Rhinolophus ferrumequinum: one gene and its partner. The protein of the gene in region 2 interacts with the protein of the main gene of each other region in a biochemical or structural test. Links are inferred from orthologs where the notes say so. Each region holds a gene or a part of one and is shown on either strand. Other genes may lie near its edges. The genes, in order: DEDD2 and CFLAR.

Region 1 (8,207 bases), on a different chromosome or scaffold from region 2:
CAAACTCATTCCTGCTTCAAGGCTTGAAAGCTTGCCTTTCCCTCTCCCTAGAATTTTTCTCCTCTGAGATCTATGCACAGTGGCACCAGTTCAGCCTCAGTTCAAATGTCACATTCTCAGAAAGGTCTTGACTGGTTATCCAATCTAAGGGGGCCTCCCTTCACTTAGTGGAGCTCCCTACCCTCTATATTCCATTACCTTTTTTTTAGTCTTTCTACAACCATATGTAAATTGTTTATGTTTTAATGTCTGATTCCCCCACTAAATGTAAGCCTCATGGAACAAATACTTTGTCAGATGGTCACCCTGTATCTCCTGTGCCGTCATACAGGATTCAGTTCTTATATATGGACAAGTTGCTTAACTTCTCTACATCTGATGTTTTCCCTGTACAGTGGGACAGTAACAGGACTTCCTCATGGGATTACCAGCAGAATACAAAGTGATAGTTCGTATGAAGGGCTTATGCTGTGCCTTGCATGAAATAAGCCCTCCATAAAGTGGTCACAAACATTATTATTGATGAGGCCAAATTCCACCAGCTCGCCCCTCCCAAAGCCATGCCTCCTCCCTCTTGCGTTTCTCATTGCTACTCTGTGAGGAGGGGAGAGTGGGGTGGGACATAGGCTGTCTGATATTGCGCTGTCCATATCAGGGCACCATAGGGGCCCAGATGGGGAAGAAGGCCCTTTAACCACCGAAGTCTCTCGCCCTTCCATTCAACCATACCTGGCCGGCGCCGCTTGCGCGCCAGGTGCGGCAGCAAGTCGTGCCGGGCCAACACGCGCAGGAGCTGCCCTAGAAAACGCAGGTTGCTCTCGTCGCACTGCCCGCGACGCTCCAGCTCCAGCAGCAGCTCCAGGCCGCTACGAGCGCGGGACAGGCCGCCAGCGGCGCCGGGAGCCTCGTCCAGCAGGAAAGCCAGCAGCTCCAGTTCACACTCGGTCAGCTGCCCGCCCACGACCTCGAACATACGATGAAGCGACAGCATCCCGTAGTAGTCCAGGCACTCATCCTCCTCCCAGCTCGGGGCAGGGGTCGACCCAGACAGCGCCATACCCGGGGGAGAGGGGCGGAACAAGCTCGAACCAGGGCCTAGAACCCACTCAACGGGGAGGGGGGGAGGTCAGCGACGCGGGGGCCTGGCCCCTTCTCCGCCAGTGTGTCTCCCCGATCCCATCCCGCGGGGCAGGGCCACCCTCACACTTCAGTCGTCTCAGCCTCCCCCTTCCCCGGAAAGGAATGGTATCGCCCTAGGTCCCCTAGTAACAGGTTGAGACGCCAGACCCCACTAGACCGATTAGTCTATCCTGCCGAGTCCGAAAGCCCCTCCCCAGGTGGAATGTTCCGAACCAGCCTCCGGAACCGACTAAGTGATTCGGTCTGAACAAGACTGCGGGCCCACCCCGAGGCACCCTGCCGACTGCCCTTTGACTCTGGGTAGCACTGTCTGGATGTGACCCTCGGCTCGGTCCAGTGGTACTGTCCGATGAGCCTCATCGCTCCACCCAATTGGTACCATCCCAAAGTGACCCTCTGCCCCCTACAAGTGGGACCGACTCTAAGTAGCCCTTCTCTCCATACAGGTGGTGCTGTCCGAACCCGACCCCCTCGCCTTGTAAGGGTGGTACCGCCCTCTCCCCAGCTCCCAGGTGGTTCCGTCTACCCGCCACCAGTCGCCCTTAGGCCTCTCTGGATCCTCACCGGAATCCGGCGTCTAACGACTCCTGGGCGACGGCCGCAGCCACTTGTTTTGGATCTTTCTGGCACCTTCTCTATTATTACGCCTGCGTCACCTCGCCCCTCCTTCCTTCCTCCAACTCGCGCAGGTGCGACCGCCACGCCCCTTAGGCGCAAGCGCAGAGAGAGGCTTTCAAGCCCCACCCCTCCAGGCCCGCCCTCAACGGTAGCGTCTGGGTCGGCCTGCGCTGCGCCTGCGCAAAGCGTGTGTTGTTCCGCGTCTGAGTTGAATTTGGTACACGGTTGCAGGGCTGTTTCTGCCGGTTCGTGACGCAAACCGCCGGGTCCTTGTTGCCCCACGTCACGACCTTTCGGAACGACTCATCTCATGGACTACAGCTCCCTCTTAAAGACGACATAGACGCCTACATTACCACTGCCCCCAGCCCCTGGCAAAGGACCACAATCATGACGGTCCTGGCTCAGAGTAGTGCCCAGGTTCTTTTGATCGGGACTCGGACGCCCTTCCATTAGACTGCTCCTTACTCCTAATGGCAACCAGGAACCCGCAACCCAGCTGTACTATCTCATGATCCCGACTAGAATCCCTCCTTGTCCAACAGACGCCCTCCCTCCCCCCCCCCCCCCCCCCCCCGCCATCTATAAGATCCTTCTGAGCAAGACAAGGACTCCCTCACCTCATGTTAGGAACCAATGTCTCCTCCCAGATGTCAGTAGGCCCCTCCAGCATCCATCATGAACCCAACTCCCCCCCCCCCATAACTCCTCCGAGTCTCTGCCCTCCAAGGTCATGGGATCTCCCAATACCCCCATCTCTAACCTGCAACTGGTGTTCAGGCTGCATGGGGGAGCCTGGGGTGTGGTGGCCACCCCGCTCCCAACTTACGTGAGTCAAGGTCAGGGCCCGCACGTGCCTTGAGACAAGTCCCCTCCTGGACTGGTTCCCACTTCCGGAATTATTTCCCCTTCGGAGGCGGGAGACCTAGGTACTGCCTGGCACTGGTTCAGCACTGGCTCTGCTTGGGCTGCAGCAGGGACCTTGGAAGAGTCCCTTCCCCTCTTTGATGGCAACTGTAACCTATTGAAGCCCAGTCCTGGGTCGAACACACAGTGGGTACCCAATCAGCTAATATCATTAAATCAACCGAAGAGTGGGAGGGAAGGGAAAGCAAACTGGGAAGGACTACGTCAATGTTAAATGAGTTATAGTGAGCACCCACGATGTATCAGGCCCTGCGCTGAGCGTTTTTATGTGTTTGATTTCATCCAATTCCATCAACAGCCTTGCACATGATTCCAGCCCATTTTACACAGGAATAAAAGGCCGAGAGAGGGGAATTACCCCAATTGTGTCTGGCTCCAAAGCTGTGCTCTCGGAGATGCTCAGTCTCTTCAGCTATGAAATGACACCTCTGATCAAGGTCTCCCGCCGCCCAGGCCACTCCATGGGCCCTTGCTTTCCAATGGTGCCCATTTCTCTCCACTTAACTTTCAGACTTAGCAGAGGAACGGCTCGGGAGAACTGCGCAAGCGCTCCTCGGAGCCGCGAGCCCAGCCCACAGGGCACAGTTGCGTGCGTGGAGAAACTCGCCTAGCCCCGCCTGAGCTTCAACACGCAGGCTCAAGGGCGCGTGCCCTACGCTGCCGGCTCCGATTGGTCGCCACGAGTAAGGGCGCCGCCCAATGGGAGGTGTGGATAGTGAGGGGTCCCGCACGCCAGGAGCAGAGGGTCTGTGTCAAGAGCGACGGGGGCTGCAGGAGACGAGAGAGACTGGTGAGGGCGCCGCGGGAAGGCAGCGCTGGGCGTACGGAGAGGGTGGAGGGAGAACGAAGGGGACACCGGGGGTTGAAGAGGACTGGGGCCTGCGCTAGGGCGGGAGCGGCGCGGAGTGGAAGGAGAGCGCTTCTTCCTAAATGCCCTGGAGCATTGATTGAGCTCCCGCGGTGTGCAGGACCCTACGCTTGAGCTCGCCGGCTCCCCACTCCTCGCAGGGAGCTCTTAGGTTGTGGAGTTGATATGTCTGGCCAGAGAAAAGGGATGTGTCGCTGTATAGCGGGAAAGTTGAACTTCCAGGCCCCTGGTGGGTTCTTTCCTGGAAGGACTTACTGATCTGCTGTATTGAAAGCCCCCATTCCTAGCCCCCAAAACTTCACAATCCAAGATTGGTAAGGAGGTAATGTAAACGAGGAAAGTTCAAATGTTAGGTCTGTCGGGACACCTTCGAGAGGGACATTTACTGAGTGCCTACTTTGTGTAAGCCTTACACCACACATTTACCTGCGTCCTAGAGGAATTCCCTGTTTGGAGTGGGGCTGTAAACAAGGAAAAATTAAACTCTCAGGCACCTGGTTCACTACTTCCAGGAAGATGCTTTATTGAATGGCTATTGTGTGCAGGGCCCTGGCAACTCAAAAATTAGTGAAGGAGTTAAGGAAAGTTTAGTTCTGGGCTTTTAGTGAATCATTTACTCAAGGAGCATTTATTGGGCACCAACTGAAAGTACGGCCCTGTGCTGGATAGTTACTGTGGGAGTTCATGCTCAAATAGGAGAGTTGGTCTGCTGGGAGAAGTGGAATGAGCACAGGAACATTTAAACTCCCAGGGACTCACTTCCTGAGGGAGCATTATCCATTCCCTAAATATCTACTCAGTGCCTGCTGTGTGCTAAGCATTGTTCTTGGTACTAGAAATATATCAGTGACGAACAGACTAAAATCCCTGACCTCTGGGAGTTTACCATGAGCAACTTTTGTGTGTCAGGCTGAACTCCACCTGCCTTCTGGCACTAGCAGATGAGTTGAAGAAGAGAGAGAGAAGGTGGAGACTGAATTCGGAAAATTAGCTCCTAGGCCTGTGAGGGAGGTAGTCATTTGCCAAAGGGACCTTGAGTCCCTGCTATGTGAAGAGTCCTAGGTTGGGTTGAGCCCACACATCCAGAAGGGCAGATGGGGCACATAGAGAAAAGTTCAAAAGTTAAAATCCTTGACACTGGTCAGTGGTTTTGTTGGTGACAGCAGCCCCTACAACGAATCTGTCTTGACTACAAGCTCAGTGAGGAGCACAGAGACTTCATCCCAAGTTCACGATAAGGGCTATGATAGAGGTGGCACAGGATACCATAGGAACTCCAAGGAGAAGGGAGTGGCCACTAGCCTGAGGATGTAGACATGTTGTCAGAAAAGGTTTCACAAAGAAAATGCTGGGGAGGAGTTTGCTAGACAAAAAGAGGAGAAACTTTCTTGGCAGAAGGAATAGCAGCATCAAAGACGTAGGGTCCAAAAGCATTTCTGGATAACTACAAGTGCTACTGTCTAACCTGTATCAAGTACCAGGGACTTCGTGGTCAGTACTACTTTTAGCCCCATTTCACAAGTGAGAAAACCGTCCCAGAGAGAGGAAGTAAGTGATGGACCTCAGATTCAGGCCAAGGGCAGTCTGGTTCCAGGACCTCAGCTCTTAATCACTTTGCTTTACTGCACCTCCGTGTCTCCGTGTAGAAGGAGGAAAGGTGCTGCACGGAGAGGGCACTGCGGGCAAAAGCCAAGAGGCCCCAAAATACGTGTGTTCTCAGAAAGGGTGTGACTGGCCCTCTGGGTAAGAAGGGCAGTATCAGAGGCCAGACTGAGGAGGGTTGTCTCTCTCCTGCAGATGCCTGGCCACCTTGGGGCATGTGTCAGCTTCAGAGTCACAGGTTCATTGAAGACTGAGACATAAACACTGGATCCAGACTCGCTGACTGATAAAGGCTGGTGAGTGACATGATGGCAAGGAAACTCCTGAGACATCCTCCCTCTCTTGGATTCCTGGTGTCTCACCAGCTCCCTTCTTTCTCCAGGCACTGCCTTCCCCACCATGGCAGAGGTGGTGGCTGAGGTGGCTGAGATGGCCGAGATGGCCACACAGATGTCCCCAGGGGCAATGGAGATGTCTATACCGGTCTTTGGGGAAATGATGGAGATGTCAACAGAGGTGACTGAGATGAAGGCTGGGGAGGCCCTTGCCTCATCCCTCTTCTTCCAGCACCACCAGTTCATGTGCTCTGAGTGTGGCAGCCTCTATAACACACTGGAGGAAGTCATCTCACACCAGGAGCAGCACGTGCCCACTGTCACCGAGGAGGAGGCGCTGACCACCCCGGATGCTGGCCTGGAGCCAGAGCTAGTGCCAGGTGCTGCGGATGGGCCCTTCCAGTGTGGTGAGTGCAGCCAGCTCATCCTCTCCCATGGTGAGCTCCTGGCCCACCAGGACGCCCACCTCCGGGAGTCTGCAAGCCAGATCCAGTACCAGTGTGGGGACTGCCAGGAGCTGTTCCCCTCACCAGAACTGTGGGTAGCTCATCGAAAGGCCCAGCACCTTTCCACTGCAGCAGCCGAAGCGCCAGTGCCACCCCCTCTGCCTCCCCCAACACCACCACCTCCACCCCCTGCTCCACCGGAAGTCCAGATGGAGCCCTACGAGTGTCCTGAGTGCTGCACCCTCTGTGCCACCCCTGAGGAGTTCTTGGAACATCAAGGCACCCACTTTGACTCCCTAGAGAAAGAGGAACGGAATGGGCTGGAGGAGGAGGAGGGGTGTGAGGAGGGTGAAGAAGAGGATGAAGAGACGGAGGAGGAAGAGGAGGCAGCAGGGCCTGCAGAGCTTGGTGGCGATAGTGTGGGAGGCGGCAAGACCGCAGCTGGCTGGGCCCAGGGCTGTGAGGATTATCCCCAGCACTGGGCCTCGGCAGGGGCGCGCCGCAGACACCGGTTGGCATCCCGAGCCTCCGCGTCAACCACCCACCCCTTCCGCTGCAGCCAGTGCCAGCGCAGCTTCAGCTCCGCAAACCGGCTGCTGGCTCACGGGCGGGCACACGTCGGTGGCACCCACGAATGTCCAACCTGCTTCAAGGTCTTCAAAAAAGCAGCCTCACTGGAGCAGCATCTGCGGCTGCACCGTGGCGAAGCCCGCTACCTCTGCGTGGACTGTGGTCGCGGCTTCAGCACAGAACTCACGCTGGTGGCGCACCGGCGGGCCCACACCAGCAACCCACTGCATCGCTGCCGCTGCGGCAAGACATTCAGCAACATGACCAAGTTCCTCTACCACCGGCGTACCCACGCAGGCAAGAGCGGGGCGCCCCCCACCACAGCAGGGGCCTCCCCGGCTGGTGCCGAGCCTCCACCCCCGCCCCCGCCCCCCGCCCCGCCCACCCAGCTGCCCTGCCCACAGTGCTCCAAATCCTTCTCCTCCACCTCGCGCCTCTCCCGGCACCGACGCACAGTGCATGGACCCCCCGAGCGGCGACACTGCTGCGGGGTTTGTGGCAAGGGCTTCAAGAAGCTGGTCCACGTGCACAACCACTTGCGGACGCACACGGGCGAGAGGCCCTTCCAGTGCCACTCCTGTGGCAAGACCTTTGCTTCTCTGGCCAACCTCAGCCGCCACCAGCTGACCCACACGGGCGTGCGTCCCTACCAGTGCCTGGACTGTGGCAAGCGCTTCACGCAGAGCTCCAACCTGCAGCAGCACCGGAGGCTGCACCTGCGGCCGGTGGCCTTCGCCCGCGCGCCCCGCCTCCCCATCACCGGTCTCTACAACAAGAGCCCCTACTACTGCGGGACCTGCGGCCGCTGGTTCCGCGCCATGGCTGGTCTGCGACTGCATCAGCGGGTCCATGCGCGAGCTCGTACGATGACACTGCAACCCAGATCACCGCCTCCCGCCCCGCCCCCGCCCCCGGAGCCTCAGCAGACTATCATGTGCACCGAGCTTGGGGAGACCATCGCCATCATCGAGACGTCCCAGCCACTGGCCCTTGAGGACACGCTGCAGCTGTGCCAGGCAGCACTGGGGGCCAGTGAAGCCAGCGGGCTGTTGCAGTTGGACACGGCCTTCATGTGACACAGCTAAGAGCAGCAATAAAAGAGTTTGGTTGCAGCAGCAAGTGTGGTCACCTGTAGGGAGAAATGGGACTACACCCTGGCAAGCCACTCTGGTGCCCACCAGGTACCAGGATGTACCCTGGCCTTACCCGCTGACTCCTCCACAGCCTGCCAGGTTTCTCTTGTCACCTTTCTCTGCCTGAGGGGAAACTGAAGCTCTGAGACAAGATCTGTCCCAGGTAACCCCACTACATTGCAAAGCAGGTTTGCCAAGGCTGTTTGCTCTGCATCACCCTGCTACCCAGCAAGCTCAGGGAACCTTTCCTGAGCCCCGGCCACTTGCCAGGTCTGTGCTGGGCACTGTTACATACCTCTTCAGGTCCTCTGCTTGTCCCCCCTGCCCTAGCCTTCCCTGGACTCGGCTCTGCCTAGTGGAGGAAGACACTTGACTGCTCTGGGCTCCCTTCATCTCACTTTTGACAATGTGAGAGGAAAGTTGTAAGTGCCCAGGTGCTCGGCTGCAGACTGGGTCACGCTGAGCCCCAGGAATGAGCCAGGCACGGGGGCCAGACCTGCCCAGGGGGCCCGCGGTGGAATAGCCGTAACACGCCCCAATACAGAGGGCCTTGCTCTCTGAGCGTGTC
Region 2 (7,922 bases):
CAATTTGAAAAGTTTTTGAAGAAAAAGTATGCCAATACAGTGTGTTAAGTGCAATCCTATGGTAAGTGCAAAAATAGCCACTGAGTATATGCAAGCATAGAGTAAAGGAACCCACCGTGAATTGTGAAGTCTTCCTAGAGAAGGTGACAGGAGCTGAATGTAAATGAAATAGGGCATATCAATAATAAGTGTTTCTTGCCTCACTGATTTATAGTAAAGAAAGCAAGGACCAAGTGACAGTACACGTTGACAGCTCTGTGACCTGCCATTATTTCCCCAGTCTGGCCCAACTGGTTTCTTCCTTCCCGTTCCAGTCTGTCCGTGGCAAGTTATCTGCGTAGGTCTCCCCAACCACTCTGTGAGCTTCCAGCAGGCGCAAGGAACCAAGTTCAGATCTATGCCTGTGTTCTCACACCCAGAACTCTGCCTGACCCAGAGAAGCTAAATAAATATTGGTAGGATTATCTTGAATTAAAGAAAAGGAGGCATTTCAGTACATAATGCGAGTTTAATTAGCTTTTGGGGCCCTACAAGGAACAAATAACCAAATGGAGTCCAATCCGAAAAATTTAAAAAGCTACACGCCAGGTTACTAGGAGCGCTGTGGATGAGTCCCTATGAGAGTCAAGGAAGCGCCAAAGGGCTAAAAGAGAGAGACTCAATCCTTTTATACCGGGGGACAATGCCCCGACAGCCCCGGAGTTCAGGGTGACGTCAGCACAAGAAGAAGAGGAGTAAACAAGGTTCTAGGTCTACTCACGCCGGGGCAGCTGCCGGCTCTTCCAGCTGGATCTCCACCTGCAAAGGCGCCCCACCGATGCGGGATACGATCAGACCCACCACTCCGAAAAACCGGAGTTGGAAATTCTCCAAACAGGACAAGGAACTGAACGTAGCGTCAGAGGCTGGTTTGCAGGGAGGCGTCCCGAAGCCTCTTAGGGCAGAGTTCCAATACTAAAAGCCTCCTCCAGGGACGCGCTGCTCACCTGACACTTCAGGTTTGAGAACCCTCCGCCCGTACCTTAAAAACTTCATCAGTGCACACACTCTTGTGTCTTCGGTGAGTAAACGCCCTTGGACGGGCAAGGGAGCTACGTGTAGCTCCAGGAAATTCCCTGCAGCGGGCGGTAACTGAGTGGGCGCTGCTTGCCCCACTACCTCACAGAGCGAGTGCATGACCGGTGGGCGTCCTAGTAACAAAAACACCTTCGTTTTGTTTCCAGTACTTACCGCCACCGCTATTAATAAACAACAACACACTACCCGCGACTATCCTCCCAACGCCCCCAGTCGCACAAGACTCCCAAGGGGGCAGAAGACAAGGGGCACCCAGTTCCTGCAGACCTGCCGGTGGATCCACCTAAGAAAGCGGGTGAAAAGTAGGGAGTAAAGATAGTTAAAGGAAGTGCAAATGTCAGTTACAAACAAAATGTAAAACACAGTCGTTAGAAAAAGCCATTTTAATCAGGACCTCCAACCCAGAAGCTGTAAGTAAAACAAGGGTTAAAATAAAAAAACGTCTGTTGGCCACATTCAATATTCCCTTCCAAGCTCGAGTCTTTTGTTTTGTTTTGTTGGAGTTGAGCCAAGTTTTTTTTGCTCCTCCTCTCAACGAGACTTTTTTGGTAAGATTAGAGGAACCACAAATCGGAAAATACCAAAAGTTCTGTTCCTCTTATCTGAATCTCTTACCGGAAGGGCCCAAACTGACTTCACTATCCATCCGGGTTTGTCTGTGTTCAAATACTTCAAGTATGCTATCACCTTACTGGCACCACCTCTCGGTTGCGTAAACAAGTTTAAAATGTCAACAAATAAAAACATTCGCCAGACCTTCAACGTCCTTGAACTTCTTGTTGCCTTGAACCAAAAACTTGGTCTGAATTTCAATGCCCTTTGTTCTATTGCAATCCACTGTTAACATTTTAAAACCCCGTCACCATCCAGCAACATCTTGAAAACACTTTATATTTATTTCCTAGTCCTCTTGGAGGGGAAGAGAGGAGAGTCCGGAACAAGTATTGGGTTTTTTTAAGGCTTTCTATAAATGTATCAGTCAGTCATTCTGACTTTCCCACAGCAAGCTTTCCTTGCAACTTGCCAAAAAATACTATATTAAAATGCTTTGAGGCATATCCCGCCCTACCTACTTCACCAAGCGAGTGAAATGTCCCGCCCGGCGGCTGCCTCTGCCGGGTAAAGGCGAGCGTGCACACACATTGCGCAGGAAAAAGTCCTCTTTTTCATCAACTTTTTAAAAGGAAAACTGCCAAATGTTTTGAACAGTTCACCCCAGGAAGTAACTCTCAAGATGATCTTAAGCAAAGTTTACAGGATGCTCGCGACCTGCCACCGAAGCTTGTTTCTGCTAAGGGTTATTTGGACCGGTGGATCCGGGCGCACCGAGGACCGCACTTGGGATCCGGGCAGCCTCTGACAGCCCTCTTGGGAATCCCGGTGCAAGGAGAGCGGGGCAAGGAGGTGGGTGCGGGGGTGCGTGCGGGGACGGGGGCTCCGCCCCAGCGGGCGCTCGTGGGCAAACCATGTATAAGGAAGCTACTGAACTGAGTCACCTGTCAGAAGACCCACCCCCCCATCCCGGACCCTTGCCGGGGAGCCCCCGCCCAGGGCCAGTTCCCGGAAAGTGCAGGTCGGGGAGCTGCGGCGAGGGACGGGAGAGGCGGCGCTCAGGCCCTGCGGCGACACAGACACGGAAACCTGCAATGAGACCTCTAGGACTGAGGAGGGTCGGAGCGGCGGGATTAAGCGCCTACACGTACCGTCTGGTCCACCGTGGGGCTTTCTTCCTGCAGCGAGCTGCCAGGCTTCGCTGTCCCGGAAGCTTGAGAAACGCAGTAAAAGGTAGGAAAGGAAACCGAAAGCCTGGAAGCGGACGTTGCGCTTACCGACGTGGCCTTGCGCGTGCACTTATCTTCACAACGAAAGTTGGGCGGGCTGACTGCGTTAGGGCCAGAGACCCCTTACTTACCAGCCCCCAATGAGTCCCCTTCAGTTGAAACATTCTCCTAGCCACAGCCAACCCACTGTTTTATCTTTGTATCCTTTGTGATATAAAGATCATAAAATATGCTGTGAACCCAGAATGGTTGTTTAAAGGAGTTCTGATTGTCGTTACGAACAAACACTGTTAGTGTTTTTTACTGATGTATACGAATAATAATAAATAGCAAGTGTGAAAGCTATTTGTGTTTTCATCTATTTATTACTTTGTGATTTTTTTAAAATTTAACTTAACTTGAAATAAATGTAAACTTACAGGAAAGTTGCAAGACTACCAAGAGAGTATTGACCTTGGAGAAGGAACATACCCACCAAGAAGGACTCCTACTGGTTAACTGGGCTCAAATTCATAATCAGTCTAACAGCGAATGCTGGCAGAGAACACTCATGCACTGGTTTCAGAGAAAAACCAAAGGCTGAGCTGCCAGCTTCCTGTACTGTTCCTGTCTTTTGAGACTACCCTTATAAAATCATATTTGGACCAATGGGCTGATACCTGCGCCCTCCAATAGGAACACTACACAGCTATGTCCTCATTTACATCTATACTAACCGATCAGAGTGGTTTCATAACAACCAATCAGAACACACGACCAGTGCTATTTGGACCAGTCAGACTCCAAATTTGGATTCATTTGCACTGTCTCTTTAAAAGGCAGGCCTCCCCGTCCCAGGGGAGTGCATTTACCCTTCTTCTGAGCACTGCATCTGCACAGTTTGCAAACTGTTAACTTGAATAGTGTCCTTTTTCCGCCCTCCAGATTGGGAACTCCTGTTGGTATTAGATTGCTGGCAGCTAGCTTATATCGTATCATATCTGGTCTTACATTATAGTAAAATAAGACCAGGTCTTATATTAATTTTTGCTCCAAAAGACGCGTTAGAGCTGATGGTCCGGCTAGGTCTTATTTTCAGGGAAACACGGTAACATATCTTTCCACCTGTTGCTCCAAAGCCCTAGTTCAGTGATTGTGCCTGGGGGGAAAAGCACTCCATAAAACAGATAGGTCTTAAACTCTTCCCAAAGGAACTGACTTTATTTGCAACACAACATGTTGAAATTCAAGCCAAAGGTTATTCTCGAAAACCTGGAGTTTGTGATGATAAGCAATTGGGAGGAGTTTCAAGGTGTGGGTTAAATTGTAACCTAGCTAGTTTGCAATGGAGAGCTAGAGATAAAGACAGGGAAAGCCCTCCTGGAATAAGAACAAACATTAAACACCTCATAAACTATTGTTTCAAAGGGCCACAATTTGGTTGGATTCATTTGTAGAGCAAATTATGCCAGAACATTATCGAAAATAACAGAGCAATCAGGGAGCATTTGAGATCTTGCTCCCTGGCATATGTCATCAGTTTGGCTTAACTAAACTTTTATAAAAATTTTCTAAGAAAAAAAATAGTAGAGCAATCAGTCAGCAAATGTGGAGTCTTAACAGCTGGGTGTGGTCGGGAAATAAAAGGAAGAGAGCTCCACCCAAAAACCACTGTAATAACAGGATAACAATATCAGAAATTTAACAGGAGTGGGGATAGACTTCACTAAAGTAATTTAGCAAATAAACAAGCAAAAAACAACAAAGTGAGGCTTGGGGAATGGGAGGAAACAAGTACCTAGAGTTGCTACAATATATTATCTAAAATGTTCAGTATTCAACAAAAAGTTACAAGGCATGCAAGTAAACAGGAAACCCATACACTGGAAAAATAGCAGGCAACAGAAACTGCTTGTGAGAGCAACCGGATGTTGGACTTATCAGAAAAAGAATTCATAGTAGTTGTTATAAACATGTTCACAGAACTAAAGAAAAGCATGATTAAAGAAGAAACAGAAGGTCTGATAACGTCACATCAAATAGAGAATATCAATAAAAAATATTAAGAACCTAGAGCAGGCATGTGACTGAGAAATTATAAAAATGAACCAAATAGAAATTCTCGAGTTGAAAAGTACAATAACTGAAATAAATTCATTAGGAACTCATCAATAGACTTGAAATGGCAGGAGAAAAATAAGCTAACTTTAAGATAGAGATTATGCAGGCCAAAGAACAGAGAAAAATGAAGAAAGCCTCAGAGAAATGTGGGACACCATGAAGCACACCAACATGTACATAATGAGAGTGTCAGAAGGAGAAGAGCATGAAAATGCAGCAGAAAAAATATTCAAAGACATAATGGCTAAAAACTTCTAAAATTTATTGAAAAACAGTAAATTACACATCCAAGAAGTTTCACAAATTCCAAATAAACTAAATGCAAAGAGATCTACAGACACATTATAGTAAAAATGCTGAAAGTCAAAGACAAGGAAGAAATCTTAAAAGCAGCAAGAGAAAAACAACTTATTACTTTAAGTGAATAGCAATAAGATTAATAGCTGACTTCTCAGCAAAATCAATATAGAGGTCAGAAAGCAATGAGATAACATATTCAAAGTGCTCGAAGAAAAAAAAAATTTTCAACCAAGCAAAACAAATTTATGAAAATAAGATTTGTGAAATACTTTCCCAAATAAACAAAAACTGAAATAATTTGTGCTAATATAGCTACCTTGTAAGAAATACTAAAGGAAATTCTTCAAGCTGAAAGCAAATAACCCCAGACAATAAATCAAATGCTCACCAAAAAAAAGGGCAACAGAAAAGGTAATTCTACAATTACAAGACAGTATAAATGAATATTTTTCTCTTATTCTTAACTGATTTAAAAAGCAATTGTATAAAATGATATAATATATTTTTGTGCCTATAACATATAGAAATTAATATATGTGAAATATATTTCCCAACACAAAACAGGTGGGTGGGAGCAAAGTTAAATGACTATAGCTGGCAAAGTAATAATTACAACAATCTATTGTTCGGTGTGTAACATGCATTAATGTAATATATATACAAAATACCACAAATGGGGGGAAAAGGGAATAGAGCCATCTAGGAGTAATATTTCCTTGTACTACTGGAACTGGCTAGTATAAATCTGAAGTTGCTTCTGATAAGTTAAGATGTATATGGTAAACCCTAGAGCAATTATTAAAATAATAACTCAAAAATATATAGTAAAAAATATTAAAGAAATTAAGATGATACCTTAGAAAATATTCGCTTAATGTAAAAGAAAACTTTTAATGTAGAGAAAAACACATAAGACATATAGAAAAATGTAAAATGGCACATGCAAGTCCAACTATATCAACAATCTTAAATGAAAATGAGCTAAATAATCCAATGAAAAGGGAAACTTGTTCGACTGGATTTAAAAAAAACAAAAACCTATGATCCAATTATAACTGCCTACAGGAGACACTTTCAATTCAGAGATACAAAGGGATTGAAAATAAAAATATGCAAAAAGATATAACATGCAAACAGCAACAACAAGAGAGATGGAGTGGCCATATTGATATCAGGCAGCATAGAATTTAAAACAAAAAATATTACTAGAGGTACAGAGGGACATCTTATTACAATAAAAGTGTCGATCCATCAGATAAATATAATCATTATAAACATACAAGAATTTAATAACAAAACATCAAAATACATGAAGCAAAGCTGGGAGAAATAAAGGGGAAATTATTTTCACAATAATAGCTGGAAACTTAGACACTCCATTTTCAATAATGGATAGAACAACTAAACAATCCACAAAGAAACAGAATGCTTGAGCAACACTATAAAACAACTAGACCTAACTCACAGCTGTAGAATGCTCCACACAACAGAATATACATTATCAATTATACATGAATATACACAGTGAAGTGCACAATGGAACATTCTCCAAGATAGACCAACTGGTAGGCCATAAAACAAACCTCAATAAATTTAAAGGGATAAAAACAATGTAAAGTATGTTCTCTGACTACAACAGAATTAAATAGAAGTCAATAACAGGAAAGATTGGTAAAACTCACAAATATGTGGAAATAAAACAACACACTCCTAAGTAACCACTGTGTCAAAGAAGTCATAAGAAAAACCTGAAAATACTTTGAGATGAATGAAAATCAAGTGCAACATACCAAAACTTATGGGGTGCAACTAGAGCACTGCGTAGAAAGAAATTTATAACTATAAATGCCTCTACTAAGCAAAAAGAAGAATCTCAAATTGATAACCTAATCTTCCACCTTAAGTAAGACACTAGAAAAAGAACAAACTAAACTTAAAGCAAGCAGAAGGAAAGAAATAATAAAGATTTAAAGTAGAAATTAATAAAATATAGAATAGAAAAACAATAGGGAAAGTCAATTAAACCTAAAGCCAATTTTTTTGAAAAGGTGAACAAAATTGACAAATCTTTAGCTAGATTGACCAAGGAGGAGAAAAAGACTCAAATTACTGAATCAGAAATGAAAGAGGGGATATTACTACTGATCCTACAGAATAAAAAGGCTTATAAAGGAACACTATGAATAATTGTACACCAACAATTTAAATAACCTAGATGAAATGGACCAATCCCTAGAGAGACACTAACTACCAAAACTGACTCAAGAATAAATAGACAATACGAACGATCTATGAAAAGTGAAAAGATTGCATAAGTTATTGAAAATCTACCCAAAAATAAAGCCCAGACCTAGACAGATTAACTTGTGAATTCTACAAAACATTTAAGGAAAATTAAATCTAATTCTTCATAAACTCTTCCAAATAACAGAAGAGGAGTGTATTAGTTTGCTAGGGTTGCCATAACAAAATACCATAGACTAGGTAGCTTAAACAACAGAAACTTATTTCTCACAGTTGTGGAGGCTAGAAGTCCAAAATCAAGATGTTGGCAAGTTTGGTTTCTTCTGAGGCCTCTTTCCTTGGCTTGCAAATGACAGCCTTCTGTGTCTTCTCATGTTCTTTCCTCTGTATACACACTTCTTTAGTGTCTTTCTATCTGTT

What was found.
Region 1: the proteins of CFLAR (region 2) and DEDD2 form a complex in vitro, tested with the Homo sapiens proteins (2 studies listed by BioGRID). The link is inferred for Rhinolophus ferrumequinum from reciprocal best matches to the Homo sapiens genes CFLAR and DEDD2.

What each region holds. Positions count from the first base shown.
Region 1 is NC_046298.1:40,129,898-40,138,104, forward strand, and holds the start of DEDD2 (DNA-binding death effector domain-containing protein 2), read right to left. Parts: upstream 3,021-8,207; 5' UTR 2,588-3,020; intron 1,864-2,587; exon of another isoform or gene 1,705-1,863; intron 1,106-1,704; exon of another isoform or gene 1,096-1,105; 5' UTR 1,058-1,095; coding exon 730-1,057; intron 1-729. Other genes in the region: ZNF526 (zinc finger protein 526), read left to right, coding at 5,555-7,582. UniProt on the Homo sapiens protein: May play a critical role in death receptor-induced apoptosis and may target CASP8 and CASP10 to the nucleus. May regulate degradation of intermediate filaments during apoptosis.
Region 2 is NC_046291.1:30,189,235-30,197,156, forward strand, and holds the start of CFLAR (CASP8 and FADD-like apoptosis regulator), read right to left. Parts: upstream 3,199-7,922; 5' UTR 2,781-3,198; intron 1,807-2,780; exon of another isoform or gene 1,224-1,806; intron 1,061-1,223; exon of another isoform or gene 989-1,060; intron 914-988; exon of another isoform or gene 761-913; intron 154-760; 5' UTR 116-153; intron 1-115. UniProt on the Homo sapiens protein: Apoptosis regulator protein which may function as a crucial link between cell survival and cell death pathways in mammalian cells. Acts as an inhibitor of TNFRSF6 mediated apoptosis.